Drosophila melanogaster: one gene and its partners. The protein of the gene in region 3 interacts with the protein of the main gene of each other region in a pairwise test. Each region holds a gene or a part of one and is shown on either strand. Other genes may lie near its edges. The genes, in order: CG13159, CG8841, SPARC and Cpr64Ad.

The links.
Region 1: the proteins of SPARC (region 3) and CG13159 interact in a two-hybrid assay, tested with the Drosophila melanogaster proteins (one large-scale study listed by BioGRID).
Region 2: the proteins of SPARC (region 3) and CG8841 interact in a two-hybrid assay, tested with the Drosophila melanogaster proteins (one large-scale study listed by BioGRID).
Region 4: the proteins of SPARC (region 3) and Cpr64Ad interact in a two-hybrid assay, tested with the Drosophila melanogaster proteins (one large-scale study listed by BioGRID).

Annotation. Positions count from the first base shown.
Region 1 is NT_033778.4:12,371,522-12,377,756, forward strand, and holds CG13159 (uncharacterized protein), read left to right. Parts: upstream 1-3,764; 5' UTR 3,765-3,847; coding exon 3,848-4,078; 3' UTR 4,079-4,157; downstream 4,158-6,235. Other genes in the region: CG13160 (uncharacterized protein), read left to right, coding at 141-164, 242-755, 812-986, 1,043-1,127, 1,289-1,409, 1,475-1,629, 1,686-2,069, 2,127-2,307 and 4 more; Cpr49Aa (cuticular protein 49Aa), read left to right, coding at 5,177-5,188, 5,251-5,460, 5,568-5,780.
Region 2 is NT_033778.4:12,319,615-12,329,493, forward strand, and holds CG8841 (uncharacterized protein), read right to left. Parts: upstream 6,645-9,879; 5' UTR 6,532-6,644; intron 6,502-6,531; exon of another isoform or gene 6,380-6,501; 5' UTR 6,287-6,379; coding exon 5,044-6,286; intron 4,974-5,043; coding exon 3,703-4,973; 3' UTR 2,893-3,702; downstream 1-2,892. Other genes in the region: mIF3 (mitochondrial translation initiation factor 3), read left to right, coding at 1,729-2,036, 2,098-2,488; garz (gartenzwerg), read left to right, coding at 7,060-7,161, 7,225-7,423, 7,479-8,464, 8,526-9,506, 9,577-9,785, 9,850-9,879.
Region 3 is NT_033777.3:26,868,738-26,877,479, forward strand, and holds SPARC (secreted protein, acidic, cysteine-rich), read right to left. Parts: upstream 3,259-8,742; 5' UTR 3,189-3,258; intron 1,831-3,188; exon of another isoform or gene 1,773-1,830; intron 1,636-1,772; 5' UTR 1,618-1,635; coding exon 1,456-1,617; intron 1,394-1,455; coding exon 641-1,393; 3' UTR 501-640; downstream 1-500. Other genes in the region: Rb97D (ribonuclear protein at 97D), read right to left, coding at 5,128-5,279, 5,334-6,053, 6,120-6,364, 6,437-6,666, 6,807-6,875; ms(3)K81 (male sterile (3) K81), read left to right, coding at 7,219-7,773; ro (rough), read right to left, coding at 8,156-8,432.
Region 4 is NT_037436.4:4,212,599-4,219,510, reverse strand, and holds Cpr64Ad (cuticular protein 64Ad), read right to left. Parts: upstream 4,133-6,912; 5' UTR 4,062-4,132; coding exon 4,047-4,061; intron 3,972-4,046; coding exon 3,243-3,971; 3' UTR 3,097-3,242; downstream 1-3,096. Other genes in the region: Cpr64Ac (cuticular protein 64Ac), read left to right, coding at 6,638-6,649, 6,712-6,912; CG43367 (uncharacterized protein), read right to left, coding at 166-743, 796-1,147, 1,209-1,489, 1,547-1,854, 1,917-2,041, 2,106-2,274, 2,333-2,720, 2,784-2,927.

The DNA of each region.
Region 1 (6,235 bases), on a different chromosome or scaffold from region 3:
TGAAGATATCAACCATATCGCACCATAAACCCGAGCCGAAACTTTAAATTGCGGATGGAGATGTCCGGCGAGTTAGTCGTGCTTCGGGAGTCGTGAAAGGTGCTCTTGCTTGGACGGTTCTCGAATCTCTTCAAAAAAAAATGGGAGCCACTAGGAATGGCAAGGTGTGTGATTTCATATTGATTTACCCATTTAGGATCATCCCAAAGAGATCAATTATAATATTCTCTACTTTCAACAGCAGTCCCTTTCGGGGTCTGAGAACCTAATAATCGAGGTGGATGAGGACAAGATCCGTTGCAAGCAGTATTCCTGGTACTTTGCCCCCATCTACCTCCTGTTCTGGGTGGGTCTCTTCTTCGCCGTCATATATCCACTTTTCCAGGCCTTGCCCACCGGAATCAAAATCTCCGAGGAGGCGGATAAACCGGGACAATTCGTGGCCGAGAGAGCTCAGGAAATACTGCTGCAAATAAGTCGATTGGGACCCCGTGTGGTGGGTGATGTTGATAATGAAGTCACAGTTGTGAATTTGCTGCTCGCTGAAATCGAAAAAGTGCGCCAGGTGCTGCGAGACGATGTCTATGAAATGGAGGTGGAGGTGCAACGGGCATCCGGATCCTACTTGATCAAAGGCCTAACGAATCACTATCAGGGTGTGCAGAATGTGATCGTTAGACTGAGTACGAAGAGCTCAAATAGCACCTCCTACCTTTTGGTCAATAGTCACTACGATACCAAGCCGGGTTCACCTGGTGAGTCTAATGATGGACTGCATTTCGGATAGGCCTTCAATAACTATTGTCCACAGGTGCCGGAGATGATGCTGCCATGGTTGTCGTAATGCTGGAGGTACTGCGTCTGGTCGCCGTTTCAGGGGATCCCTTCCTGCATCCGATTATATTCCTTTTCAATGGTGCCGAAGAGCAGCCAATGCAGGGATCACATGGTTTCATCACGCAGCACAGATGGGCTGCCAACTGCAAGTGAGTTTGAGTCTCAGGCGGAGATCACCGGAATCTCTAATCCGCTATCCAAACAGGGCTCTACTGAACTTGGATTCCGCTGGCGCTGGTGGACGTGATTTGCTCTTCCAGGGCGGTCCCAATCATCCCTGGCTGATGGAGGTAAGTTCCCCTGTTTGTGGAGCTAAAAACCCCCCGAAAGTCGGCAACGCCATTGGTGATTCATATATTTGGGAATGCTCTGATCGCATTTCCGATATGGGGGCTGCTATATCACCCGTCTGGCTGCTGATCAATTAATCTAATCTTCCGCCTTATCTTAGCATTACAGAAACAGTGCCCCGCACCCGTTCGCCACCACAACGGCCGAGGAGATGTTCGAGGCTGGTATCATACCATCGGATACTGATTTCCGGATCTTTCGGGACTTTGGAGTTGTGCCAGGTGGGAATCTCGGCGCAAGAAAATATCCTTTTCAACCACACTACTCAGGAGCTCTTCTCTTTCAGGCTTGGACATGGCCGGCGTGTACAATGGATTCGTTTATCACACGAAATTCGATCGCTACGCGGTGATAAGTCTCGATTCCCTGCAGAATTCCGGCGACAATTTACTGGCCTTGGTATGGAGTATTTCGAATGCCGAAGAAATGTACGACACAGAGGTGGGTTTCCTCTTTCGAGTGGCTTTTGTCCATTTTTCATGGTAATCTTTCAACAGGCACACGCGGCGGGACATGCAGTATTCTTCGACTTTATTGGACTGTTCTTTGTCCATTACCAGGAGTCGACTAGCTTGGCCCTGAATCTCTTCTTCTCGTTCGGTGCCATTTTGCTGGTCTGCATCTCGTTGTGGCGAATGTCCCGGGTTACTGGACAGACTATGGGCACCTATGCCGGCGTCTTTGGACTCCTATTCCTGCTAGCCCTAGCTGGTGCTCTCCTCGCCGTGGCCTTTCCTCTGCTGATGGCCACCTTTTATGATTGGGGAAATAGAACGTTGACCTATTTTAGCAACAGTTGGCTGGTCATTGGGTTGTACATTTGTCCATCGGTTATTGGCCTTGTACTGCCCATGACCCTCTACTTGACGCATACGAAGTGTGTAAGTAGTATCACTTGTTAACGAAGTTATTTTGTTATACTAAGCTATCCTCTGCAGAACAAGATCCCCCATACTTATTACTTGCATATTGTGGGTCACGCGAACTGTGTCCTTTTGGCCATCTTGTGTTTGGGTGCAACGGCTCTTAAATACCGTAGTGCCTATCTATTTCTGATCTCTCTCATTTTCTACGTTGCTGCTCTGATCATTAACCTACTGACCCGTCTCCATTGTCGCGGTAAGTTAGCTTATATATTCGTGGAGAACTTTTAATGATTCATGCCAACACTTTAGGTTATCTGTGGTCACTGGTGCTGATTGTTTTCCAGATTATACCCTTCATTTACCACGCCTACTTGTTCCACATGTTCATACTTATTCTCATTCCGATGACTGGTCGCTTTGGCGTCTCCACCAATCCGGATATACTAATCGGCGCTCTATGTGGTTTTGGCACAATTTTGGCGTTATCTTTTGCTGTAAGAAAGTTATTCACATTTATTGACTACTTTACTTAATCAGTTTCACTTAGGCTCCTTTAATCAATGTCTTTCGGCGACCGAACTGCATGCTGGGTGGTCTGGCACTGGTTATGTTTATTTTCTGCATGATTGCCGTCTCGGATGTCGGATTCCCGTATCGGCCCAAAACAAATGTCATGCGTGCCGACTTCATGGTAAGGGAAACACTAATAAGCATCCTTTGAAAGACGACTAAGTTCTATTCTTTGTCGGAGCAGCAAGTGCATCGCAAATTTTTCGAGTACAATGGTTCCATCAGCCACGAGGATTCTGGCTACTACTTCCATCTGGGGGATCGAAACAAAGAGGCACCTCTGCGCGATCACATGAACCTGACCAACCTGGTACGCCTGGGCGAGGATTGCGACTCCGAGCTGATGTGCGGTATTCCCTGCTACCGATATTGTAGTGCCCGGGAGCATGCACTTTGGCTTGCTCGAGAGGAGCCCGTGGAACTGCCTTATCCAACGGTCTTGGAGTTCCTTAGCAAGACAGTTCTGTCCGGTGGCTATCAGGTGCGCTATGAGTTCCGGCTAACTGGTCCGCCAAATATGGGTCTGTTCTTCAAGCCACTGGATGGTGTAAAACTACTCCGATGGACGTTTGCTCCCGCAATGCTGGATAATCCGGCCACTTACAGGCCTCCTCTGGAGGTCATGTTAACCTACGGTATTGATAACACTCCCATCGAATTCTTCGTGGAACTTTCTGTGCGTATTTAATGGGTCGTTCTGATAACTATACTAACTAACTGATTCTTAGAAGGACGATGGCAACTTCAATGAACCCGTCTTTGAGATGGGCGTCTCTGGACACTATGTCAGTCCACATGATAAGCGGGATGCGTTGAGCCTGGAGTTCCTTGCCACACTTCCGGACTTTGCCTTCTCGATGGAGTGGCCCAGTAGCTACGAACGGCATATATTCTAGGATAGTTAGCTAATAAGAATACCAAGTCATTGACACTCCCAACCCGAAAAACTTTTATTTTTCGGAAAATGGAAGGGGATCAAACATTGGATGCATTTCACAATGAGTTGGTCGGTAAACATTGGTGGGGGAAAGCTAGCAATGTAGCAAACGGTAAAGGAACCATTTGTGCAAACATTACAGGGAATACTACGACTGCCGCAGTCAAAATATGGGTATAAATAGTGAGGCCTGGACCAGCGAAAGACACACTCAGAGTTCAGCAGCTCGTCCGTCGATAAGCAACAGCCAGCCAGCAATCCTAAAAGCCCAAAAAATCCAATCAACATGAAGTTCTTCGCTGTCCTCGTCTGTTTCTCCGCTGTCCTGGCCATCGCAATGGCATCTACCGCAACTACAACCAGCACTCCCACAACGCCCTCTTCGCCCACGACGACGACGTACACCTATACTACCACCCCGACCTACCCCACCTACACCTACACCACGGACACCACCACCACTAAGCCAATCAAGCAACAGCTCCTGTCCCTGCTGTTCAACAAGAAGTCCGGATAGAGCCGCCCATCCGATCCACGATGCTGCCACTTGATACGATCCTCATCACCTGAATAGCCAAATAAAAACACCAAATACCAAAAAACAAACAAGCGCCGTCTCTTGCTCTCACACAATACCGCAATCGAAGTTAACCATCTCACGTAGCATTGGGCGGTGGGACATTTGGGGCTTTACTTCCACCTCCACCTCCATTTCTACTTCGGCGGTAACTGACATTTGCTCAACTGGCAACGGAACGCCCCGGCTCAGGCATTACCGCCTTTTGGCCGGACCTGTTCAAGAAACATCTGTTCGGCTGCCGCAAAGGTCAAGCGGCACTTGCCACATTCAGTTAGCTGGTGAGTAAGTCAGTTGGCCAGCCAGACATGATCATGGTCAGGTGGCAGTCATAATCCCGCCAATGATGATCATCAAGCCGTTGAGTCAAATGTCTAATGACTGCACTGACAAATTGATGTAGGAATGCAGCAGTCTGTCCCTATTCCTCTCACGCTGCCGAGGATGAGTTATGAATGTCAAGCTGGTCATGTTCAACACGATCCGAGATGATCATAGTGCCTCCAACGCCCCTCGCAATACAGGTGCACAGTGGGCGATGGCTAGCTAGGATAGTTTCTATTGCAGCAAGCAATTGAAGATGCAACTGTGCTGATGATAACTTCCAGCATAACAACTTAATGTTGTGAGATATTATACTAAACTATATTTTTCTTTGCTCTAATGATAAAGTAGAGTCCCCACTGTGGCTGTCATGTAGACAACTCATTCGACAAATTGCAGCATATCGGATGGGTCGTGCACTTGTAGGTGGATTCGATTCGATTCGGTCCGGTCCGGTTCGGTTCATTTGCGCTCCATGGGAGATGGTATTGGCCTCCGACAAGAGCCACCTAAAAGAGGCTTCCGATCGGCGGGTCTTCAAAATGCTAGGCGTTCACTCTTTAATCTCCAACTGCAATAGTGTCTGTGTGCAAAAGTTCAAGCGATTTGGTATAAATATGCAAAGAGTCGCCTCTGTTGACCACAGTAACGGATCGAGACGAACTCGGAGCAGACGACCAGGACCCAGGATCACAGGATACAGCTCGGTTCGACATGCAATACACAGTAAGATGGAAGAGATCAACTTGGGTATACTCCATGCTGATATCGCATCCGCGTGCTTTCAGCTGCTCTTCATAGCAGCCCTGCTGCTCAGCTTGGCCCAGGCCAGACCACAAGTGAGAGGCCAAGCGCCGGGAGAACCCATTCCAATTATCAGACAGGAGCAGGAGGTCAACTTCGACGGCTCCTACAAGTATCTGTACGAGACGGGCAACGGCATCAACGCCGAGGAGGAGGGCTACCTCAAGAATCCAGGCACCGATAATGCCGGCCAGGTGGGTGTAGGAGAACTCCATTCACAGTCGTGCCTGGCATTTGCCGGCTACCAGTTGGCCAAACGAAACGAGCACTAACTTGCATTTGCCCTTTTACCGCTCCAAAGGTCGCACAGGGCTCCTTCTCGTACACCTCACCCGAGGGCATTCCGATTCGGATAACCTATCTGGCGGACGAGAATGGCTTCCAGCCGCAGGGCGACCACCTGCCCACGCCGCCACCCATCCCGCCTGCAATCCAGAAGGCATTGGCCTACTTGGCCACCGCTCCGCCGCCGCCACAAGAGCAGCCCGGCGGGTTCAACAACCGACGTGGTTAGGTAATCACATCGACTTCTACAATCGAATTACCTGGTTCTACTCAATTACAAAACGTGTGCGAATGAACAATAAAACTGGCCATACAACAACAAATGCAGAGTGGATTTTCAATGATTAGCAAATGATTTAGCTGTGGAATTTAATACTGACTTTAGTAGACTTAATCAAGTGGCAGATATGCAATCAAACGATGACGTCTTGCGATCTAATGACTAATGATGTATTGATTTCCAATTTACTTTTGCGTTTGGATCGATTTCTTATGCGATTGTAAATATATTGGAAATAACCCGTATTCAGATAAGATTTAACTCACTTGGGTCCAATTCCTTGACCTTACCCTCGTGAATCAAAATATGTACTGAATATTCTGATTTTATGGGCTAGGCGCGTGTGGTCGGGAAAACCTTATTCATACTTGTTCTTTAATGAGGGGGATGGTAAAACAGCCTGA
Region 2 (9,879 bases), on a different chromosome or scaffold from region 3:
GTACGGTTGAGACATCTTAGTTTTGGTATGCATCTCCCATTATACCAACAGCAAGATATATAACAGCAAGCATATGAATGGCTGACCAAACAGCACACCAACAAGGCAAACAGGAGGCACTAAAGGATAAAAAACACTTTATAGTTGAATATTTTTTTGAAGTCATGTGTCACGCGAGCAATCGTTTTTCTATGTTTCTATCGTTTTTCTAGAAGTCGTTTTCTACAACTGTGATAAGATTAGAAGCCGAAAAAATAATGCATTTACAATAATTTATATATATGTATACTCAGCGCAAGTATGTAAATCTTAAATGTTATTTCTGCATTTGACAAATATCATATCGGAAAAACTACCAAATCGTTTCATCTTTTTTTACAAATGTTTTAAAAATCTTTTACGATTCATTCTACAAATTTTGTACACATTTCTTACAAATTTATATCATAAGCCTCACATCTTTTTTTTGTTGAAGTACTGAAGTTAACAATTAAATCGTAAAAAAAAGACAATTGACCCAACATTGCAGCACTAAAACAAAAATCGTTTCCACAACCAATCTTTTAGAATATTTGCTATGTATTAATTCCAAACGGATGGGGCTTGCCCAATTTTATTGATTATTCTTCCTTTAATGTCTAAGTTCATGTACATACATATATTCCTAATCTTCAGTACGTACACACTTTCTCGCATTATGGTATTCCGGTTTTGTGAGCTGAGAAGGTCCCTGATAAGCTTAAAAGCAGAGAAAGTCTGCGTAACTCGAATGACTCGACTTTCTCAGTTACTAAGGAACTTAAAACTTTGTATATTATTATTACACTATTTTTGTAATTTAATCATTGTATGAGCTTTATTTCAAACATTAATTAACAAGCTTTAATTGTATTTTAATAAGAAAATATATTTTCCTGTTTACATATTTCATATTTCGCTTTTAACCACATTTAAAACATTTATTACAAACTTTATTTGTATTTTTATAAAATTAGTTTTTCGATTAACATTTTCTAATTTTCGCCTCCTAACCATATTGGAAAATATCTCCACACCACGATTCTCGATGGCTTCTGCAATGATGTCTGTGACGGCTGCATATATATATTTTTTTACACTTCCCATTACGCACAACATATTTCGTACAACAACATATACTTGCAGCATTGCTGACCAAACAGCAAACCAACAAGGCAAACAGGAGGAACTAAAGGATAAAAAACACTTTATAGTTGAATATTTTTTAGCAGAACACTTTACTTACTTGTAGTTTCATCGTGATGTCTCTCTTAGGAACTGAAGTCGATTTCAAAGCTCGGCTTCTAAAATACCCAAGAACGAAAACCAAAAAACAAAATACAAAAACAAAATTTTAGAATTCATGCGAGCAATCGGTTTTCTATGTCTCTATCGGTTTTCTGAGGAAAAACATTTCATATTTTGAAGAAATTTTTATGAGCCTGCTGATCCTGGTTGTTGTATCATATTACCCGACTGATTTTTCATTCTGAAGAATAAACATACTACACTTAATTCTTTTTAACTTGGGTGTTATTGGCGGCTTGAATTATCGATAACTCCAGCCGTCAGCTGGTACTTACCTGCCGGAACAGCTGTTAAAACAGACTGCTTCACATAACCTGACAACTCTGAGACAAAAAAATTGCACAAGCAAAAGAAAATCGAAAATAACCAAGAGATATACAAAAATATATTTGAAAGAGAAGCATGCAACGCATAAGATTAATGTTTAATCATGCTGCCGCAGCAGCGATTCAGCAGCAACACCTGCGTCCCTTGACCGTTTACTGGAGTTTGGCGCAGCACCAAAAGCCGGTGGGTGGAAGCCCAGGAGACAGTAGAACGAGGGATACACGGAGTCTAAAGGCAAGTGTCCAGAAGATCACCCTGATCCAACAGAACCAGTCAATTAGCATAACCACTTTGGAGGAGGCCCAAAAGCTGGCCAAGCGACGGGATCTGCACCTGTTGCGATTGGAGCAAACAGATGCTAAAACAGGAAGAGCCATGTTCAAGTGGGTATATATGGTTATCATCGGGGCCTGGTCATTGTTATGAAGTTGCTATACTTTGCAGACTAGTCACAGCTGCTGAAATGCTGTCGGATGATGCGGAGCAGTCGAGATCAGCGAGCGAAAAAGTTAAGGATAAGAAAACGGAGAAATCCCTTACCATTGGTGCGCGCATCACAGAGCACGATCTCTCCTCCAGACTCAAGAACATTGTGAAGTGGCTGGGCAAGCGACACGAGGTTCGCATCCTTATCCAGGGCAATGCCAGTGGATCGGACGAGAGCAGCGCCGAGCGCATAGTAAAGGCCATCGAACAGACCATTAAGGAACCACAACTAATTGGCAGAATAGTGCAAAGGCGCAGCAAGAGCGCGTTTATCAAATTCTCGATTATTCCAGTAGCTCCGCCACCAGTGCCCGCATCCACTGCCACTTCCAATACAATCCAGTCGTGACAACTACCGCTGCTGCCTTCGGTGCTCATGGATCGGCCCAATGTTGCGGCAAGCAAACAAAACTTCGGCCTTAGAATATCCACCCGCCATTTCTCGGAGCGGGTGGAAGAGGAAGGCGAAAAGCCCGTAGAGATCACAACCGCATCCATTGTCACCACTTCGGTGCTGCTTCTATTGTTTTTCTTCAAATACTTCTACTGGCATCAGCATTTGGTCAAACTATTGGAGGATCGAGAGCAAGCAGAACGACTGAAGAAGCGTAAAAGAAAGGATGAAGTCCTTTCTCTCCACCGTGAACGCAACCTACAAGAATGTAAAATCGATTGATATGAAACTGCTTTTTAGTAACTGTCATTTGGCTCTATATTTGGCCATTCTTATAAATTAAAATACAAGATTCAATTCGTTTTATGAAATTTATTTATTATTTATTACTTATCTTGGGTTCTGCTCTATATTTCGTAAATGATTTATATAAACTGACTTGTATAGGTGTCATAAGTTTAGTTTGTGTATATAGTTTATAAGCACACGTAGACAGTAAATTAATACACTTTCTCAATTCTATCATTAATGTCTATATTTAATTAAGTTTACAAAGCAGTTCATTGGACTCAACTAAAGTTTCCTAATCATTACAAGAGAACGTAAAGCTTTTTATGGTGTCAATAGGTGCAGTTACAAATTTGTTTGGATAAAGCGAATCGTTTGTAGAGTGGCTGAGTGAAAGTAATTTATTCTTGGTATTTGCACCTTAAATACATACATAAGTAAAAACAGGAAATTTTTAAATTATTAAAATATAAAATAAATAAAACCATGCAATAAAATATACGGCACAAGGAACATTTTCTGTCACAGATTACAAAAACATGAGTTGTTTAATAATTTAGTCATTAACTAAAATAAAAACACTTTGTGCTTATACTGTTTTTTAGAACACTCTTCAAAACAAATTAGGAAAGCAATTAAATATCAATGCTAAAAGCCGATAACAAATCTGTTGAATGGATCTCAATGCCACATCGTAACTGATAAGCCTCATTTTTTTTGTTGCCAATAAGCAAAATTGTGGGAAAGGTAGTTCATTACACACTGATTCTTCACAAAAACATTTGGAATGAAATATGTACTAAATAAATTAACTACAGTAAATGCCAAAGCGTGTAAGCTACGATTGCGCTGCTGGTGTAGCTGGGAGTCCACTTACTGACCTAGACGCGCTGAATCTCGAAGAGCTTGACCTCCGTATCGTACCAGATGGCAGGCTCCACGTTGCGCAGGTAGATGACACCCCAGATGTAGGTGCGGAACCATGCCGTTGTGCCCGCATTGGCCTGGTACTTTCGGATGAGAATGGGATGCGGCACTGGGAGCAGTCCCACTAACGTTCCGTGTTGCAGAAACTTGAGGATCTCCGACTCGTCGGTCAGTCCTTTGTCAATGCAGATCTTCTCCACCTGGGGCACTAGGACCTGAAGCAGTCGCATGATGGTCTGCAGCGGCAGCTTGGAGCGCCAGGAGACGATCCACTCGGGCGTGGGCGTCCAACGATCGCTCTCGCCAGGCACCATGCGAATGCTGGCCCTGTGGGCCACCGACAAGCGGGACAATTCCGTGGGTGAGGTGGACTTGCGTTCGTCAGTTGGCGTCGAAGCGGCTGATCTGTCGTAGGGCACAATGTCTGTAGAATCCTCCACCTGAGGCTTGTCATTTGGATGCGCCTGCTCCCGCTCCGTCATCTGAGTAATGCCCGGGGTGTCCAACAAGGACGTTTTCAGTGTTCCTGGCTCGGCTGGCTGCGCCGTGAGAACGTCCGACTGCAGCTCCCCCGCCTGAGATCGCTCATGAGACTCTGTCTCCGATTCGAGATCCTCTTCCGCCTTGGGCTCTTCATTAATTATCTCCTCCTCGTCCTCATCCTCGTCTTCTTCGTTGTACTCTTCTGGCACGTGGGCCGAGGGCAGTTCCTGGGACACAGCTGGCGTTCTTCGCTGTGGTACCCGCGGCAAGTTAAACTTTCCACCTGTTTTACGGCCACTCAGGCACTTGGCTATGCCAGCCATATCGGTCGGGAGATTTGCCATGGCATGGAACACATGACGCTTTCGAATTATGGTGTAGACTAGATTCGAGTTGCCATCGAACTGATACTGTATAATGTTATTGAAGATCTCCAGCAGGAAAAACACCAAATGATGATTGCTGGGTGCCGATAGCAGAAACCAGGGTGTGCTAAAAGCCTCCAGGAGATGCAACATCTTTACACTAGCCACCATCGAGAGGGTTTTCAGATATGGTGAGACATTTACCAGAATGGTCAGCAGACAATCGAAAAGCGGCTGCAGCCTCTGGTGGCCAGTGGCTATTATTTTGTGGAACACAGTGATGAGTAAGTCCGCATGGGTTCCAGTAAACACAGGTATATCCATGGGCACCGTGGCGGAGTATGCTTTGTTAAGCCGAACCCCAAAGTTTCGCTCACCTATCAATAAACATTTATTTAAGTGTAAGTGCACTGATTCCACGAACAAAACATATGACATATGACTCACCCGATAGGAGCAACAGTATGAATACTCCAATATGCATCAAGCCCACTCGAGATTGATCCGCTCGGGAGTAGTTTAGGTGATACAGAATGGGAATCAGGATGTCCAGAACATCGGAGCTCTTTAGCACAAAATACAGAAACTTTTTGTTGTAGTCGCATATTTTCCAAAACAAAATAAGCAGCTCCTGGTGGCAATGAAGTCGCTTTGTGGAATTGGGCAAATAGTTCTGGACCAGTGGGTTGTTCAGCAGCCTGGTTATGCCCTTGAGCACAAAGTGAAAGTCCTCGTCGCGGTGAACCCTCGAAAGATAGTTAATGAACAAGTTGTCGCCGCAATTGCCCTCGTCGTAGGACGCCTGTCCGGGTTGTGTGAGTTGCTGCTGCACCACCATATCGTGATCCAAGGTGACAATGAGCAGTTGAAGGCACGCTTCCACCAGGGGCTCTGTGGTGTCTGCAAACAGCAGGTGATTGTAGGGCACGCCGAAGCCCACCGGATCGTAGGAGCACACGGTGTTCAGAAACGAGGTGAACAGCGGCAGGGCATGGCGATTGTCGGCCGAGGTGAAATATGCTATCCACTTGTTGGGCTCCTCGGACTGCTGCGGCGATCGGTACATGGGCTCCGAGAAGCAGGTGAGTAATAGCTTCAGCAACTCCGTGCGCCTGCGCTCCATGTGGGCGTTGTGGGGCGGTGACTGGGCGAAACCCACGCCCGCTTCCCAAATGTACTCGCAGCTATCGATGTTCGCCAACTCCTCGGCCTTCTCGGGGCCCGCACGCCGCGTGGCCGTAACCGTGAAGTCGGGACAGAAAAGAAGGTCGCAGGTGGCATTGAGCAGTGACTGAGCCAACGGCATGGTCTTGTCCTGCGATGGCAGGCTGCTCCAGAAGAAGTCGCGCCACTTTTCGTCCTCGAAAATGTACGGCAGACACCGGACGAGCAGCCGCACGCAGTTCAAAACGCACTGCTGCTCCGCCTGCGTGCGACAACTGCTGTCTACCGCCTGGGCAAGCTTTTCCACCGCCTTGTAGCATAAGGTGGCCAGGTTGGCTGGATTCTCGTTCCGTATCTGGCGAATCTCGCTCGAGGTGACCAGCGCGAACACATCCTCCAGCGTCGTCTGGTGGCCCTGCCAGAACTGCTCCCAGAACTGCTCGTCGCTGGGGTCGATCTTCTGGTTCTTCTGCGTCAGCTGCACAATCGCCTTGCGAAAGTTCAACTTGGAGTCCGTGTTTCCCATATTGTTCGGCCTGTGGGCTGCTTTGGTATCGCTGAGTCCTGTAAATCCACCTGCCCCGTGCTCGATCGCCTCAGTGCAAGTGTGCGCAGTAGTCTGGAACAGGAATGCTTTGCATTTAATGCGATTCTTTTTCAAAAATCGAACGATTCCAATTAGAAATTCGCCTACGCACCAAATGCCAGTGTAACTTAGTGGTGGGTGTAACGCTCACGACTGAAGATGCGTGCGTGACTGATTATGCTCACCTGTTTTGGCCCTCATATTCAAATATCAATTTGATTAAATCAATTTGATCGACAGCTTGGCAACATATTTTATTTTAAAAACAAGGTTATATTTTTTTTATATACGCTTGCAGCTGTATTTCAATTTAATCTATTGAAATTTCCGCATCGAGTTGGCATCTACAGCTGTGCCAGTGCTGCGAAGCGACGAACTGCCGCGCCGGTGTTGGAAGACGCTTGTGCAAAATATTCGGACTGCACACAAGAACATAAACGACACGTAAACGTCACCAAAAATTAGCAGCTTACCAGTTCGATTAGTTAGGATTAGTGAGAGATGCCCAACTAGGCAGCACGCCCAGATTCGTCCAGGCAGCGTGAGTGTGCGAGTGGGCAAGTGGCGAGTGCCAAAACATATGCGAAGGTCGTCGGGAAGGGAGGAGGAGCTGCCCTGCCCCACGAAAACTGCAATTTTCAGCGCTAGCCCTGGAACTGGAAGCCAACTAGCTGCAGTCGTAGAGACACCGCAACGGAGGACACGCGGACACCATGGCGCTTCCAGGCAACGGCATCTACGTGGTGCGGGGCGAAATGGCCACCCTGATGACGGCGATGCGACGTGGAACGCGTTGGAATGCCACCGCCTACGTGGTAAATAGTGCCCCTAATGCTCACTGCGAATAGAAAGTATATGGCCCTTTTGCACATCCACAGGACGACGAGAATGACTCGCTGCTGAAGCTGTTCATTGACCTCAAGCATGAGCTAAATCGGATCGAGGACCTGCGTCAGATCGAGCCTCAGGTCTTCCTGGCTCCGTTTCTTGAGGTGATTCGCACGGCGGACGCCACGGGTCCGTTGACTAGTCTAGCCTTGGCCTCGGTTAACAAATTATTGTCTTACGGGCTAATAGGTATTATGATTTAGTGCTTACCCTCTGCATTTGCTCATTCTGTACCTATCCACAGATCCCACGTCTCCAAATCTGGCTGACATTGTGGAGCGCATTGCCGATGCTGTGACACATGCCCGCTTTATGGGCACCGATCAGTCCTCGGATGGTGTCACCTTTATGCGAGTGATTGAGGTGCTGCACACGCTTATCCGCAGTCCCGAAGGAGCCGCCGTCAGCAATGTGTCCATGTGCGAGGTGATGCTCAGCTGCTTCAAGATCTCCTTCGAGCCGAGGCTGAGTGAACTGCTTCGTCGCTCGGCGGAAAAATCGCTCAAGGACATGGTGCTGCTCTTCTTCATGCGCCTTCCCCAGTTCGCCGAAGAGCGAAGTGACACCATGCTCCAGAAGCGATTTACTATCGGCGATGCTGCCAGCGGAGCTACCCAAGAAAAACTAAAGCGTAAGACGGTTGCCCAAGCCCAGACAGCACCCAGGAAATCGTCAGCAGTGGAGGAACCGCCTCAAACACCGCAGTCTGCCAACCTGACGGTGCCAGGGCACTTGAAGGCACCCATATTGGCCACCACACCCGCCAGTCCAGCGGGAAACATATTGGACATGCAGGGCAAGATTACGCAGACACCAACAACAACGGCGAGCACGGGGGAAGATGAAACCACTGTCCCGGAGACTCCTGTTATTCAAGTGGAGTCGACTGAATCGGAGCCCTTGCTGGACGGCGAAACGGGTGAAGCAACCAGCACCCTGGCCGAGGCAAATAGTAGCGAGTACATCAACTCGGTGGGCGTCCGTTTTACACAGCAGTCCACCGATCACGATGTAACATCACTATCCCCTTATGGCCTGCCCTTCATCCAGGAGTTGTTCCGATTCCTCATAATCCTCTGCAATCCTCTGGATAAGCAGAACTCGGATAGCATGATGCACACGGGTCTTAGTCTACTTACTGTAGCTTTTGAAGTCGCAGCCGATAATATTGGAAAGTATGAGGGCTTGCTGGAGCTGGTTAAGGACGACTTATGCAGAAACTTAATATCGGTAAGGGACTCTTAATTGCTTCGTTAGTTATTTCTGACCTAACTCTTTCCTTTCCCTACAGCTTCTCAGCTCAGAGCGGCTTAGCATCTTTGCCGCCGATTTGCAGCTCTGTTTTTTGCTTTTCGAGTCTCTCCGCGGACATCTCAAGTTTCAGCTGGAAGCCTACCTTAGAAAATTGAGCGAGATTATTGCTAGCGATAATCCCAAGACGCCCTACGAAATGCGAGAACTCGCTCTGGACAATCTACTGCAGTTGTGGCGCATTCCCGGCTTCGTCACGGAATTGTATATCAACTACGATTGTGACTTGTACTGCACGGATATGTTTGAAAGTTTGACAAACCTACTGAGCAAGTATACGCTGTCAGCAACGAATGCAGTTTATAGCACCCACATTATCTCAATGGACACCCTGTTAAGTGTGATAGACAGTATCGAGCGAAATTGTGCCGCGAGCAAGAATAGCAGCAACAACAGAGAGTCCTTGCCAGAAGCTGCCCCAGCAACAGGTGGCAGCCGCCATTCTCGCCACAACAGCGGATTGGAGGGAATCGTAATTGATTCTGGCAATAGTGTAGCTGCAGAAGAGAAAGTGGAGAACATCGCAAGCTTTATAAATGCGAGCTCACATCGACTACGACTACAATCTGGCGGAGAGGGAGTGGGAATAACCAGTGAACAGCTGGCCAAGGTCAAACAGAAGAAGCGTCTGCTATCCCAAGGCACAGAGCGATTTAATCAGCGTCCAGAGAAAGGAATCCAGTATCTGCAAGAACACGGCATCCTAAATGCCGAGCTTGATCCCATGCAGGTGGCCCTGTTCCTTCGAGAAAATCCCGGGCTCGATAAAAAAATGATTGGCGAATATATCTCGAAAAAGAAAAACGTCGACTCTAAGATTCTAATTAATTTTGTGGACTCGTTTGATTTCACTGGTCTTCGAGTGGATCAAGCATTGCGTCTTTATCTGGAGACCTTCAGATTGCCCGGAGAGGCTCCATTGATCTTTTTGGTGCTGGAACACTTTTCTGATCATTGGCATGTGAGTATACACATCTACTAAAATACTTGCAGTCTCTGATATTAATCATGTATGTATCCCACCAATATAGAAACAAAACCAAGATCCGTTTGCCAACGTAGACGCTGCTTTTCGCTTGGCCTATGCCATCATCATGCTGAACATGGATCAGCACAACTCGAACGCGAAGCGTTTAAATGTTCCAATGACGCTCGAGGACTTCACTAAGAATTTGCGTGGTCTAAACGGTGGCGAAGATTTCGATCAAGAAATGCTGGCTCAAGTCTTTAATGCAATCAAGTAAGCTTTAGTACATATAGCGTCACTCTCATTTGCTTATATTTCCGATTATTAATTATTTAAGGAACGAAGAGATCGTTATGCCAGCAGAGCA
Region 3 (8,742 bases):
CTAGCATCTCCCCAACACTCACATACATACAAACAAAAAATACAAACACACAAAACGTATTTACCCGCACGCATCCTTGGCGAGGTTGAGTATGAAACAAAAACAAAACTTAATTTAGAGCAAAGTAATTACACGAATAAATTTAATAAAAAAAACTATAATAAAAACGCCAATCATGTTATTTCCAAAAAAAAAAAAAAAAAAAAAAAAAACTAGACGAGATGTTTGCGCTTGTGTCGATGAATGTAAAGAATTGCAACTACATAGATGGTAATTAATTTCAGCTGTAAGAAGTACAAGTTTTTCATAATTGTGAGAAAAGTGCAGTAGTATCGCTTAAAGTTCAGTTTTAATCAGGGCATTTAGCAGCTCGAACCCAATGTATTTGTAAGCCCAATAAACGTGTAAATGCCTAGAGCAAAATATCACAACTGTAGCTTTTCATCCGAAAGATAATAATGAATAGACTGACCTGACGTTTTTCAAAATGCGTATTATTTCAAAGAAGTTGTTATATATTTCATTGAATAGCGAGCATTTACACAATTAACTGCTAAATTAGACATTTTTCGGATTAAGGAAGCAAGTAGTAACTACCTATTGCATACTACAGAAGTGGATATGGAAAATGGGCTGTGTCCTAACCCAGAAGATGGGGCTGAGCCCGCTGGACGTCGTCGCAACGCTCCTTGAGGTCCTCGGGATCCAGCTCCAGGCAGGCGCCCCACTCCACCAGGGTGATGCGATGGTCCTTGTTGGAGTCGCAGGACTCGAGGAAGGGTGCGATGCAGTGCTCGAGACTGACCAGCGGAGCACGGATGGGGAAGAGCTCGTGGCGCGAGACGGAGCGATCGGTATCGCCGTCCAGGTCGCACCACTTCCACACGGCGGCGTTCGACCAGCGACGCGAGTTGTTGGTCTCCGCCTCCAGCTCCATCTGCATGTAGTGCTCGGTCAGCTCGTCGCGCTCGGCCAGGTCGCGCATCACGTTGAACAGCCAGTCGCGCATGCGCCTGGGGAAGTCCTTCAGGTCCTCGCCCTCGCAGCTCCTGGGCTCGTGGCAAGCGCCGTAGTAGTCGATGTGCATGTGCGCGTTGTCCGGATTGGTGCAGCCGGGCTCGCCGCTGTCGCACCAGCAGCGCTGCTGATACACAGAGCAGTCCGACGGCCAGGTCTCGTTGGTATTGGTGCAGACCAGGCGGCGAGTGTCCACCTCCTCCGGGCACTCCGGAATGCACACGCATTTGGGCTTCTCGTCGTGCATCTGGCAGATGCGACCGGCTCCGCAGCTCATCGTTTCGCACAGATCCACCTCGACAACGGGATTGAGTAGATTGTGCTGCACTTCGGCCAGCTTGGTGGCAATCTCATTCTCGCGCTCAATATCCTTGATCTGCGAATGGAATTCAGTTAGTGCATTAAGTGTGATTTGTGGTTTGACTTGCGGCCACATGCCTTGTTCTTCTCCTCCAGCAGGCGCAGGAACTCCTCTTCGTTCTCATCGATGTCGGACAGGTCGAGGTCCTCATCCAGCAGATCTTCGGAAAACTCCGTAGAGGCCTGGACGTGGCTCACAGCCAGCAGGCCCAAGCCGAGCAGCAGCCAAAGGGAGCGCATCTCGAATGGCGATCTCAACTACAGGGATTGCAAGTAAAGCATCTTTAAAACACCTTTTTCTTCTCTTTATATTTAAACTATATATTTGGAACTAAAAGTGCCTTTATAAATAGAGTACATTATCAAGTCATTGCGATTGTGAAAACCCAAATTACATTGAGATTAGCTGTGGCCCTGGCCCAACTTCCGTTTCAAGGATTGGTTTGCGACTGTACCGTGTGCGCTGCGTCGTTACTGTACTCCACTGGCGATCTTGTAACCACCAAACAACGGGGTGGTTTTACATGCACATCTCGTGCGGCGTCTTTTTGCTCATTGAAAACAATTGAAGAAGCCGCAAAAATCTTGCAGGGTTCAAAAGGTCAACGCGAATGTGGCGCGCAGATACAGATGCATTTCCTTTTATGGGCAATTTTATTTATGGATCTTTAGATCTTGTGGAACAACAAAGCCAACTCATTGATGGCGGAAGATGACTACTGCAGATCTGGAGTTTTTAAAATAGAAACAAAGTCGGGGGAATGGATAAAATCTCAGAATTTTCAATGTTTGCTTTTCATTTCCTGCTGCCTGCTGCAAATAAGCATTTTTCTCGCTTTTTGCAACCGCAAATTTGAAATATGTTTGAATATTTCAGAATTTGGGGCATGTTGAACACATGTTGAGCAGTTCAAATCGTTTATGAAATCATCTATATATGCAGATGCTCCCATTAATGCGAATATACCTGATTAAAGCTGACCTTAATCCTATTGCTAAACACACACACAGGCTAAACTCAAGCCGAATTTTCGTAATCATTTCAAGATGTCGCCCCAGTTCTATGCTCAATCTTAGTACATGTGCTATATGGCATATATGGCACATCATTGGTTGCCCAACGACACAGTTGGCTTATCAGGTTCCAGCCCGACTTGGCCCCACCGCCGCTTATCAGGATCGGTCGGTCGCTTCCGTTTTGGGTAGCACAAGCAAGATGTGCTTAATCGTCGCTTTTGTGCCGCTGAACATCAAGTCAAATGCGCAGCTATGTATCTGGCAATTGAGAAATGTATACGCGATCTCGCGGAATGGAGCTTCCAGGAATATCCGAGAGTGGGATGCTGCTGCAGTGCATTCCACATGTTGCACACATATATATCTATGTATACAATGCAATATATACTTCCACATGTGTTTGTTTAATTATGCCGACGAAACTAGAAACAATGACGTGATGCAGTGTCCAAGATGCAATGTTTATGCATCGCGAATGAAAGTGGACCAAAAGCAGATACAATCTACTTGAATTGGCGGAAGTGCAATTCACAGTTGACCTTGCAAATCACTGGACTTACTTTTGCTTCTCAGTTCTGACCAATTAACGAACTGATTTCATCGAAAATAAAGTCCAATTGATTGACTATTTGCCAATGAGCAAGGAACATTGAACTTGAGCAACTCGAGCCAGAGCTGAGCTTGCAGAAATTTGAGGAACAAGCAAAGTATCTGTATCTGCATATGTCACACACTTGTTTTGTTAATCCGATTACGACACTCAATCCTTTGTTTCACTCTGCGTGAGTACTCACTGTGCGTTCAATGAAAAAGTGTTTCCCTTCAAATGTCTAATCGCGTTGGCGGATGGCAGGCGACTGTTTGCCTGTGGAAAAGCTTCGGAATGATTACGGATCGCCAAAGTGGAGCATGGAGCACTGCCTGCCCATGGTTTTGGTGTCGCCTCCAACGTGTTGGCTCCCAACATGTTCGCTTGGAATAAAAACACTGATTGCTTCGATTTTGGCAGCTCTTTTTTATTGGTTTCTTGCTTTTCAACACATAAAATAAATCGTGTCCTCTTCTACGTACCTCATAGTTTATGGGAAACTTGAGCCTTGGTCTTTTGAAATAGGCCACTCCAGCGTTGCTCCGGGGGTTTATTTTTTTTTTGGAAAAGAAATAGGTTGTTTGCTTAGAAAAGCGTAATAAAGATTCGATAACAAGATACACATAAGTTAGAAACTTAAGAGCACTTATAAAAACTCTAGTTTATCCTAGATGAGATCCGTTACTAACTTACCTTACGAATTAACTTTGTCTCAAGAGTATTTTGTAGAGTAGAGTATGTTTAAAATTAGAGCGATATTTGTTTGTATCTAGAATGGCATAACGGTAACTAAATATAGTTTATGCTATCGCTAAAGAGAAAGAGACTTACATATCGTCAGCTAAAACAAATACATAGTGTTGTTTTTAATTTGTATTTATTTAAAATAAATATGCGTATGGGTTTTCATAGAGTTCGGTTAAGTGATAAATTGTATCTCGATAATGCAGCATAACGAATCTTGCAAATTGTGGACTAGACCTCTCTTATTTCAGTACTGCATTATATATAAAGATCAATTCAAAGCCCTTGGCGTGCACAACAGCTTAATAATAGGAGAGAGTCGAGAATAAATCGTAAGTCTAGTTAATCCGAAAGCATATACATTTTCTTCGCATTTTTTTCGGGTATATACACTTCTTTGAGTTCGTCATGATATACAAATAAGAAGAGATATATGTAGTATATGAATTAACATCGTGGGCGACGAGATAAGAAACCTTTAACATTAATACAGTATATAAGTGTCCGATTCTTGCTTCTTGTAAAAATTGACATTTGTTTTGATATCATCTCTTGTGTACATTAATAGTTAAGGCCACGCCCGCCAGCCCTGCGTATGATTTGATTTGATTTGGGATCCGACTTCGCTCCGGATTCTTATATTCTTGTTTCTTGTTTCTTGTGTTTTTTTTGTTTGGACGTATCTTCTTATTTGAATGGTTTAGGTAATACATAGGCATCTACGATTAAACTACTTGTTTTGGGCCAATAAGCTCAGGCTACAGCTCCGTGATTTATGTCTAATTAATTGATCTTGATTGGCAATTGTTCTTCCATCCTCCACCATTGCACAATCCTTCTTCTTGTTTTACAGATAGAGAGAGAGGTTTAGATTTAAATAGAGAGCCTGTTGTAATTTCGTATCGTATTTTGGGCATTCTTCTACGATACAGAGTTTCATAATTATGTCTAGAGTAATTCGAACTGGAGAAGTGCTCGCTCCTCGCAATACGTTGTATAAAATAGTTATATATAGTCTGCCATAGCTTAGGTCAATCGTAGGGTAATCAATGGTATAGCTTAAGTGTACAGTAAAATCGTAGTTAGTTGTCCTATGATAGAGAGACAATGCGTTAAGTTTCCTGCTTAGTAACTCTAAGCGAGTGTGGCCTAGCTTATGAACGAGCTTACTAAAGAGTGTCTTGATTCTTGAGCTTTAGCCGCCCAAAGAGCATCTAAATCAAAGAGAATTTTAGACATTAGTAATTACACATAAACAAGTACTTCAGACGTAGTGCATCAATGGCGAGTAATATATGCGTATATGGATATATTCGTGGCAAGACGTATTTGAGGTAGCTCTTATGCATAGACCACATTCAAAAGAAACGACTAATGGCGGGTACGGCTACTCACCCAATCTAGCGGCGATATTTGCTGTTGGCACTGCCTCCAGTGGCCACGGAGCCATTGGATACGCCAACAGCCTTGGCCCCAGTTGGCGGCGGAACGCTTCCATTAGGCGGCAGTGGTCCAGCGTTGTAGCCCGTATATGCTGGTGGTTGAGGAGTGTCTACAATTAGTAGCTGTTCAAAATTACATGTCTTTAATAATGGATTATACCTACGGTAGCTGTTGGGCGGACCTGCCGAGTAAGGATTCATGCGGTTTGCATTCATATTGTTGTGCTTGGATGGTCCGCCTCCGTAGTTTTGCTGATAGCCAGTGCCGAAATTTGGTTGTGGTGTTGGCTGTTGCGAAGACTGCTGCTGGTGGGATGGAGGAGCTGCACCCGGCACTGGGGGCGGCATGTTCCAGTTACCTGGAGCCGTCGGCGGTGGTCCATTGTGACCCATGGGTGGTGGCACTGCTCCAACCGGCGGCACCTGTTGCACTGGTGGAGGACAACCCCACTGGTTGGCGTGCCACTGCTGGGCACCCGGTGGTGGCGGTGGTGGTGCATTCCAGCCATTTTGTTGCGGCGGCGGATATGGACCCCAGCCGTTCATCTGCTGCGGCGGTGGCTGCTGGTAGTAGGGCGGCATAGCCGGCGGAGGTGGTCCCCAGTAGTTGAAGTTTGGTGGTGGAGCAGACATAGGCGCCGGTGGTGGCTGTTGTTGGTAGGGGCCCATGGCCTGTTGTGGCGGCACTGGTGGTCGAAAGCTAGGTGCCTGCATATTGCCATTAGGTGGCTGCTGTCCGCCACCCTGCTGTTGCTGCTGCTGATTGAGCGACGGCTTGATGGCGTTGGCCAGCCCACCTGGCTGCTGTTTCTCCTTCTTGTCCAGGTTATAAATGGACTTCTTGACGTCCACGTGAACGTACTTAATCGCATGTTGCTTTTTAACTAAACGGGATGAAGGTTCATAATTAATATCAATCTAATATTTAGCATTTTAGCTTTTATGCTTACGGATAGCCTTATCCACTGCATCGTAGTCGTCGAACTCGACGAAGGCGAAGCCGCGACGCTTGCCAGTGGTTTTGTCAGTAAGCAATTTAACGGAGACTACATTCCCGAATTGGAGGAAGTATTCACGAAGGCATTCCTCATCGTGGTTATCCTTAAGACCGCCTACGAACAGCTTCTTCACGGATATATTGGTCTCGCGCGATTCGCGTTCGGGACGGGGCAGAGCACGCTTGGCTTCCACAGTTCTGGAAGCGAAAGGCCTCATGGTATAGATCTATTCTTGGTACGATATGATCCCCCACCAAGTCTATACTCACTTGCCGTCGATGATGTGCGGACGGTTCTCCTGGGCCCTGTCGACCATGAGAGACTTTGTGTAGGTGATGAAGCCGAAGCCGCGAGATCTCTTGGTGGCAGCATCGCGCATCACCACAACATCGACCACCTTGCCCCACTGGCCGTAGAACAACTTCAGGTTCTCCTCGGTGGTGTACGGGGCCAGCCCGCCGATGAAGAGCTTACGCAAGTGCTCCAGCTCGCATATGTCCTACCGGTGCAGAGGTGGTAAGTGGGTTAGCCAAGTGGGTTGGCATGTGGTGAAGGGTGGTATGTGTGAAGGGAAACAAATATAGGTGCGTCACTTGCCAAGCCGCATACATGCACAGAAAGGTACGCGTATGTACTTACATCTTCCTCGCGATCTGCAAGCACAATCACATCGGCGGACTCGTCCGATAGGGGCTCATCCTTCACCATTGTGTTAGCAAATTAATTATCACTAAATTTAACCGAAATTAAGAAACGAAAACGACCAGTTTGCACGTCGAACGGTTGAAGCGAAGTGAAAATTGTGCTGTCAGGAAGCGAATCATTGATTCGATACACCCACTCTCTCTGTTTGTTATCGATAAGTTGGTTAGGGGTATTCTTGAAATTTCTAAAGTGCCAAGTTTCTTTACTATCGTAATAATAAATACATACACGAATTGGATATGCGATAGCTGTCAAATTGTAATATAGTTTTTCAGAAGCAAAGCGAAAACCGCCAACGTATACTAGCCCCTTTATGCATTCAATTGAGTATTCAACTTAAGTTCTAATGTCGGATTCGCCCCATGAGGAGCACCGCTTGTGCGGTCTGGGGAATCACACGCTGAGGTCCCCGTACCGCGTAATCAGAAATCCGCACCTGCTGAAGTTTGGCCAGCTGATAAACTCGGAGCTGCGGTCTCAGCCACTGTGCCTCTCGTGCTACACGCAACTGATCCAGCTCTACCGGCTGAAGAACAACAATGCGAAGAGACACCTGGCAAATAGACAGGCAGCCAGTGCTATTCTCTCGAGGAGCAGTAGTGAGAAATCTCATGAGTCCGCGGCTAGTGTGTCCACAACACAATCCTCGGAGGAGCAAGAATCAACCACTAGCGCAGCGCCGGCGGCGGCGGCTCAAAGAGCAGGAAGCCAGTTGGTTGAGTCCAATTCTTCCGACGATACACTTTTCTCCGATGACTACGATCCCAGCTCGAATCTGAGTTTGAATGCCGTGAATGGAACGCGGCTACCGAATGTCCAACCAATTCCGAAAAGGCGCCAGTTTGTGCATCTAAATCGTGAAGCTATGGCCATTTATCTGGCGGGAACTACTGGGGGATAATGTTTGTTTCATTTAGGATATTTTCATAAATTAAATTTGAAATAACACTGTTACCATCTATGTAACCATCTATCGATAGTTTCCGCCATGTTATTAGCAGCAGAAACAGCTGGCTGAGCACCAGGGCTGCATTATTGTTTGTTAGTTTTGCTGTTTGGTTTTTAACAAATTTCCTGGTTTTCCCTCAAAAACCCTCTCTTATATAAATAAATCAAGTGCAAAATGCTGAGTCCATAACAACACACGTAAGTTTGTTGGCAAGCAGTGAGTGATTTCTTCGAAAAGTGCAATTCCTGCAATCTGTTATGTTTTCACAATGACTTTTATTCGATCTTAATCTAAACAGTTTAAAGCTCAAATAAATGTAATCAATTAGCAAGTATTAGCAAATGTTAATAGGCGTTGTTGTTTCTCGACGTCGCTGCTGCTGCTGCTGTTGTTGTTGTTTTTGTTGTTGCTGGCGCTGGAACTGGTCATCGATGTCGATGAAATTGGCATCCTGCGTGTTATCCTTGGGCAGCGCTGCCGGCGTCGCTGCCGCGGCATAGTAGTTTAGGCCCACGCCCACCGCCACGCCCCCAGTGACGCCTCCGGGGGGCATGGTCGTGGCAGCCTGACCCATTATAGAGCTCATAAAACCATTGGCCACGACAAAGTTTCTGAAAAATTGATTACATCAATGTACAAAATAATTTCGAGCAACCCCCTCCGGCACAAAAAAAAAAAAAAAAAAAAAAAAAAAATATGGAAAAAAATGATATCGTCTAATTGGGTCTGTGTGCGCATAAATGTCGTAAAATTAATTTCGTGTTAATTTCATGTTGGCCATCAATTAAACTAGTGACATTTCACTAAATTACTTCCGTTTCGAAAATGCAGGTATAAATACCCAGTTAAAATCCTCTTCACGAGCTATTCATCAACCATTAATTTATGTTCATTTAATATTATTTAACTCAATCAAAATCG
Region 4 (6,912 bases), on a different chromosome or scaffold from region 3:
TTCTAAACAAATGTATGAAACTACAATGCCACAATTGTGGTGCATACTTTTAGGCCATTACAACAATGATCCTCAAACTGTATGATTTAATTTATCCTCAAGAAGGAATAAGAATACCAATTATAAATAAATAAAAATAATTATTAAATAAATTTATCAACTTACCATGATAGGAAAGGGTTACAAAAGAGATTTGTACACACGACTCAGTGCATCCAATGGGCTTCAGTGTTCTAACAAATTGACCCTCCTGAAGTGTGTACACGTTGACAGTTCCATCCAGGGATCCAGAGACCACCAGATCCAGTTCCGTGTAGATGGCTACACTGGAAATGGCATCGTCGTGACCATAGAGCACCGTCAAGGGCTTGGGTGAATAGCTATTCTGAGTATTCAGCTGGGTGATGGCCTGTAGGTGCGACTGACCCGTCAGCGCATGAACTGGAATGTTGTTAGTGGATCCACCGCCCTGCTGATTTGTTTGGATGCTCCACACAATACAGGTGCAATCACGCGAGCCGGTGACCAGGTACGAGCCGCAATTGTCCAGTGCTATGCAGGTGATAATGTCCAGGTGGCGGGTCACCGAAGCCACCGCCTTGCCCTTGTTCAGATTGTACACCCTTAAGGAGTTATCCCAGATTCCACCGGCATAGAGCAGCTTACCATCCGTGCTCACCGCAAAGAGCTGTGAATGCGGTTGCTGTGACGAGTGGAAGGGTCCAAAGATCCGCTTGCGGTTCCTTTAAAGATATGTACATTAATATGACCGATTTGCTAAATCTTTAAACATACTTTAGATTAGCCGTTGTGGCATCGATTTCCAGCAGGAATCCCTGATCCTTATCAAACGATAGCCACGAATTGCAGCCCAATATGGTGGACTTCGATATGCTGACTAGAACATCGGGACTCAGCTGCAGGAACGATCGCGGAGGACTTCGCGGTGGACTCAGGTACACAATGGGATCCTTGGGCGTGGACAGCTCGCAGTAGTACTGCACCACCTTGTCCAGGAACTGAGTAAGATCCGGCCTTCGGAGCTCAGCACGTACCAGCTTTAGAGCCGTCTCATCCTGAGTAAGGCGTCGTGGATGTGGCTCCCGCAGCAGCTGTGAAGGCACTTGGCCAAAGTTATTAATCATTCCTAATATAAATGAATGGATGTCAATAAAAATAGCAAAAAAAAAAGTCTTGGTGTAAGCCACCTTCAACCGCCTCCCGTTCTACAGGGTTGGTGATCTTGTCCAAATCCACAGCGCCTTCATAGGAGCAATAATAGAAAACGTTTAGAGCCTCAGCTGCCTTGGGTCCCTTTTGCTTATACCCAAAGATCAGATCAATCCAGTGGTGCAGATGCTGACTGACATACTCCGATTCCAAAGCCCGTCGGTGTATGGCTATGAACTCCTCCGGCGTGGTAGCCCAAGCAGGCAATATGACATCGTCCACCTTTTCTTTGGTTATTTGTAAGTGGCCCAAATCAAATCTGCACATAAAATAACATTAGGCTAACTAAGTAAAAGTAAAAAACCACATGCATTACTTATTCATGTTCTTAAGGAATTCTGGGAAGTAAAAGAACTCGGGGATCAGCTCCTTCACGTCATTGGGATTGTCCATTAGCAACTTCCACGTCTGAGGTATCGAGTGGAATTGTCGATCGGCCACATCGAAACGACCGCTCTGCAGATCAATGTGCAGCGAGGTGAACGGTTCGACGCGAAGCAAATAGTGGAGCACGCCGGCCGAGTTGGAGTAGTGGGTTCCGTAGTGAAACTTTGGTATGGCACCAGAGGGGTCCTCGAATGAATCATATTTGCCGCGCACTTCGGCCTCGTTTTTAGGATTTATCTGCGGTAGAAATGCGTTTGTCATGTAACTGATCACCTTTTTCTATTTTCAGTAATACTTACGCATCCAATGGGTTTGGATAGGTCACGGAACGATTTTGGATCGGTAAGATCCAGCACGTCACTGGTGTAATCAGCAAGGATCCAGGGGAAGACGGGGTATTGGCTTAGATCATTGTAGGATCGACCTAGTTATGTAAAATACGTTAGTTTGATAAAAATGTATGTAATAATCAGATGTTATTTGCTTACCTGCGATTGTGTTTAGGTACATCAAGTATTCAAAGTTGGAAATCTCACGATTGATCCATCTCTGTGTGAGTCCCGAGGCCCTAAGCAGCTCAGCCGGCGATCTTCCCGAGCCGTAGAGTATGTTTGGAAGCGGTAGACCCACGATTTTTGTGAAAACTTTATTTCGAGTCTTAAAGAAATAAGAACATTTGCAATGATCACATTTTATTTACAAAAAAAAAACTCACCTTCGTCGTAAAGTTGAGGAAGTAGCTAGTCTGATCCACCAGGAAGATTTCCAAAGCACTCCTGCGCAGATTGTACTTTCGCAGATGAACCTCACGTATCTTGTTGGTGGAGAACCTGAAATCGTATTTGGAACCATCCTCTGTTGGCGGGCTCAAGTCCACAAAGGTGAACACGCTCTGGTTAACCTCAATGCGTCCCTTCACCTTGGTCATCAGCGTGATCAGCTCACAGTCCTGTGACATGACTAGCTTCTCCAGCGCCACATCCTGTTGCGCTTGCGTGTCGATCAGTTGACGTAGTTCCTCCTCCAGCTGGGAACTTTCGTCATCCGCCAGGAAATCGCGCACCACGGCATTCTTGATGGTGGAGTCAAATTCAGAGATTTCCCTAAGATAAAGGATATTGAAAATCAGATTATGAAGGACACTACTAAGGACTGGCTGGGCTTACTTGGTGTCGTAGGCACTGGTCGCATTGTCGCGCAGATTGGCGGCATTCTCGTGTTTATTTGGATATAACTGAGGCTCCAATTTCAGACGCATCCTGGCCACGTTCTCATGTTGCGAAAGCTTCCAGAACTCTTCATCCACTTCCCTAAAAAGAACACCAAGTTTTAAGTGTAATCCTTAAAATATAAAGAATGATACATATAAATATTACCTATAAATATTAAAGCTAAAATACTTAAATAATTTTCTTAAGCCTCTATATGATATCACTCTCGTAATCCAGGATGCCTTTAAACAATAAACTACAATCTTTTGTTTTCAGAATTTCTTTAATTTTGGGTTTTTGCGATGAAAGTTATTCAATAGCTCGACAATGATTAATCGAATATGTACAGATGAAAGTCCTTTGTCGAATTGCGGTCAATACTTCCTTTACGACTCCTACTTCTCCTCCTTCTACTTAGGCGACGATGGGAGCGGCCAGGGTCTTGGCGAAGACTGGAGCGGGGGCAGCAGCCACAACTGGAGCCACTGGAGCAGCCACGGTCTTGGCCAAAACTGGAGCCACTGGGGCAACAGCCACGGGCACATCCTTCTGCACCACTGCGTTGAAACCGTTGATGGAGTCGGCGTAGTAGCTGACAATACGACGGGAACCATCGGGCTCGATCAGAGAGTAGGATCCACGGACGACATCACCATCACGAGTCTCCTCCTGGGTCTTGGAGTCACCGGTTAGCGTATCCTGGACATCGTAGGCGAACTTGTACTGTGGGTGGGCATCCACGATCTCGGTGGCGATGGGAGCAGCAACTGGAGCAGCCAGGGGAGCAGCAACTGGAGCAGCCAGGGGAGCGGCTACTGGAGCAACTGGGGCAGCGAGAGGAGCGGCGACTGGGGCAGCCAGGCGAGCAGCAACTGGGGCAACTGGAGCAGCGAAGGGAGCGGCGAAAGGAGCGGCAGCGTAGGTCTTGGACACCAGGGGAGCAGGTCCCGCCACCAGAGGGGCGTTGTATCCCAAAGGAGCCGCGTAGCCCAGAGGGGCGGAGTACGCAGCCGGGGCGAAGTATGGAGCAGGTCCCAGAGGGGCGGAGTAAGCCAGAGGAGCACCCAGAGGAGCGGCGGCCAGAGGAGCGCCAACCAGACCAGCCTGAGCCGAGAGGGCCATCGAGGAAAGGACTGCAACAACCTGTGAGGAAAATGCATGGAGTCCAGTTTAGTCTCCTGACCTGACGGGTTCACCGAAGCCATCACCAACACTTACCGTCAGAGGATTCATTGTAAGGCTTGGGTGGGGGTTTAGTGCGATTGTCACCGTCGGTTATCGAAAATGAACTGACATACCTTGGACAAAAAAACCACGACTTTTATACCCAGATGCGTTCGCGAAATTTGCATGCGGTGCTCCGTGGAGGGAACTGCGTACCAATTGCGTATGGTAGCCCATTGTCCGAGCTCCTTGCCCCCCGCATCATCACCATCGCCGCTTTTTGGGGCCGCCTCTTCCTACCCAGCATTTGGCTGCGTCTGCGTCTCGGGCTTTGATCCAAATTCGCAGCACGTACTCCAATTTTCAGTCGTCTTGCGGTGGCTACACCAAGTTTTCATTTTTATTTGCCACTGTTTTTGCCTTGTTCGGATCGAAAGTGAATGCGATTTGATTATATTTCGGAGCAGTAGTTTTCGGTAATTGTCATGCAGGTTCCATCCAATGACAGTGCTTTTAATTTTCCTTTACACCAAAAGCGCGAAACTTATAATTAAGTTACCATAATGACGTCGAGTTGACAAGGGTTCAAGCTCAAAAACTTAATATTAATATATCTCTGGGATAAAAAAGTATCTTTAGAGTGTAATGATCCTGATTTTGATGTACTACTTGAATTGGTTGTCTCAAATAAATTGGAAAGTTTCTTATACACCTTATTGGGTATCAATTACTTATGCTAATGAGTTACCACTTATACATAATAAGGGTTTTCACAAGGGGTTCGGTTTCACTTAACAAGGTGAAACTGGGTCAATGTGGCCCAGTAATATCGATTAGACTAATATATATACTATATACCCATATATTACTATTGTAAATCTATTGAAAGATTATCAACATTTGATACATCAATTATATTGATATTATTCTAATAAATGGCCATGCATTTGGTTTATGTTTCCATAAGGAGATTTTTAGTTCCTCCCCTAAACGACTTTGCTGAAAAGGATAAATCTTATTTTAAATTTAACATGCTTTCCTAACAAATATCTTCAGTAACAACAAGAATCTCTGGTCTTTTGGAATTTGCCTAACTCCATGGTTGATTAAAGATTCCCCATCGATTTCGTGCTGTAACTGGTGGCTGGTTTTGAGTTCGTGACTCTTTTCCTAAATGCAACCAACGACCTTGCGACTCGTTGGCTGCGGATTCACCTCGGAGAGACGCTGAGCGATCCGGAGAAGCGGAGAGAGCCCCAAAAGTTGGCACCAAATGGTGGTATTACTCGTCGGGTTGTGGTAGCTGACTAACGGTTGTCGGCGTAGATTGTCGCCACCGGAAACCAGCATGGATATACAGTCGTCCAATTTGGCCAAAGCGAATGGAATGCTCCACTGCCATTTATGCAGTTCCTTGCCCAATCGCTTGACTCTGCTCTGAGATGAGAATTAATTAAAAGTGGATGAAATACTAACCACAGCCACTTAGCTGCCAATTGTGAGCAAGGTCGCCGCGGTTAGAGCTTCCAAATGCCGGCTAAATGCTTTTTGGCCCGATCGAGGCAATTACGGTGGCTAAGTGACCGGGCTCAGCAATGTGGGCGCTGGTCCAGTTGGTCAGGTGGAAATCGGATCGTCGAGGGGTTAATGCGTGTGCCAGTGCGTAATTGCGCCTGCGTCCCGCCCAATTCCATTCCCTCCACCAAGCCGTCGAAACTTGCCATTTTCGTTTTCTAATTAAACGAGTGGCTGCGAACGATTGATCTTGTTTTTATACCCTGCACTTTGGGTGGGCACATTGGACATGTATGTTACTATGAAGATTACTCGCACGTCACGCAAACCAAGCGAAATTTGCTTGCGTTTGGACAACATGGCGTGTGAGTGATAATCGGCATAACTTAACAGCAGGCATTTCAATTACATATTCAAATATTGATTGAAGTATGTTCGCCAAATGAGTGTTTACATATCCAATTGTAATCTTGGTTTCATACATTTTCAGAAAATTGAGAGTAAATACATATTTTCATTAGGTCTTTGATGATATTAAAGATTTTTCTTGAAAGGGTACCTACAATCGCTAAAAAAGCACTGTCACTGTTCTTGTGGCAACTGCAACTGAAACTGCCACAATATGAGGCACTTATTACATCAGACAAATTTTGGCTGGAGAACCTGAGAATGTGCCAAAAAACGGCGAAAAAATGAAACCAGATCGGCCAGCGAGTCAGCGGAAAACGAGTCTGGTGTTGCTGGTAGCTGACTAGCTGGGTATCTTGGAGCGGCGCTCTTGAACGGACTCAAATGGACTTCGGTGAGTGGTGTGCCTCGGCAGCGGCGGCTGCAGTTATTCCATTGAGAAAAGCCAGCACCAATGATGAAATCCGCACCAGAAACACGAAATCCGCCATCAGCGATGAGGTCTGGGGTGCAAGATCGAGATCGAGATCGGGCAGCCACCAAATGAGACGCAATTGTCACTCTGCCCATTAGATTGTCCAGTTTTTTTTTCCGCTGGCAGCTGCCGCCAGTTTCGAATATAAAACTGAAGACCACGCGGAAAATGCATCTCACATTTGAGCTGAGTTCTCGCAGTGCAGACACATCCAAACCAGAGCTCCCTCATTCTCACATCCTTCGCCATGATTGCCCAGGTGAGTTGGCCAAAGGAGTGCAGCTTTTAGTTGGCTCAACTGATCATGGAATTCCTCGCCAGACTCTGTTCGTTTTGGGACTGATCCTGTCCGCCGTTGTGGCCATTCCCATTGATCCCTATGGACTTTCGGCCCCTGGACTCACCTATGCGGCTCCCAAGTTGCTTGCTGCTCCTGCCATTTCCTATGCTGCTCCCAAACTCCTGGCGGCTCCTGCCATCTCGTATGCCGCTCCTGCCATCTCCTATGCTCCCAAGGTCCTG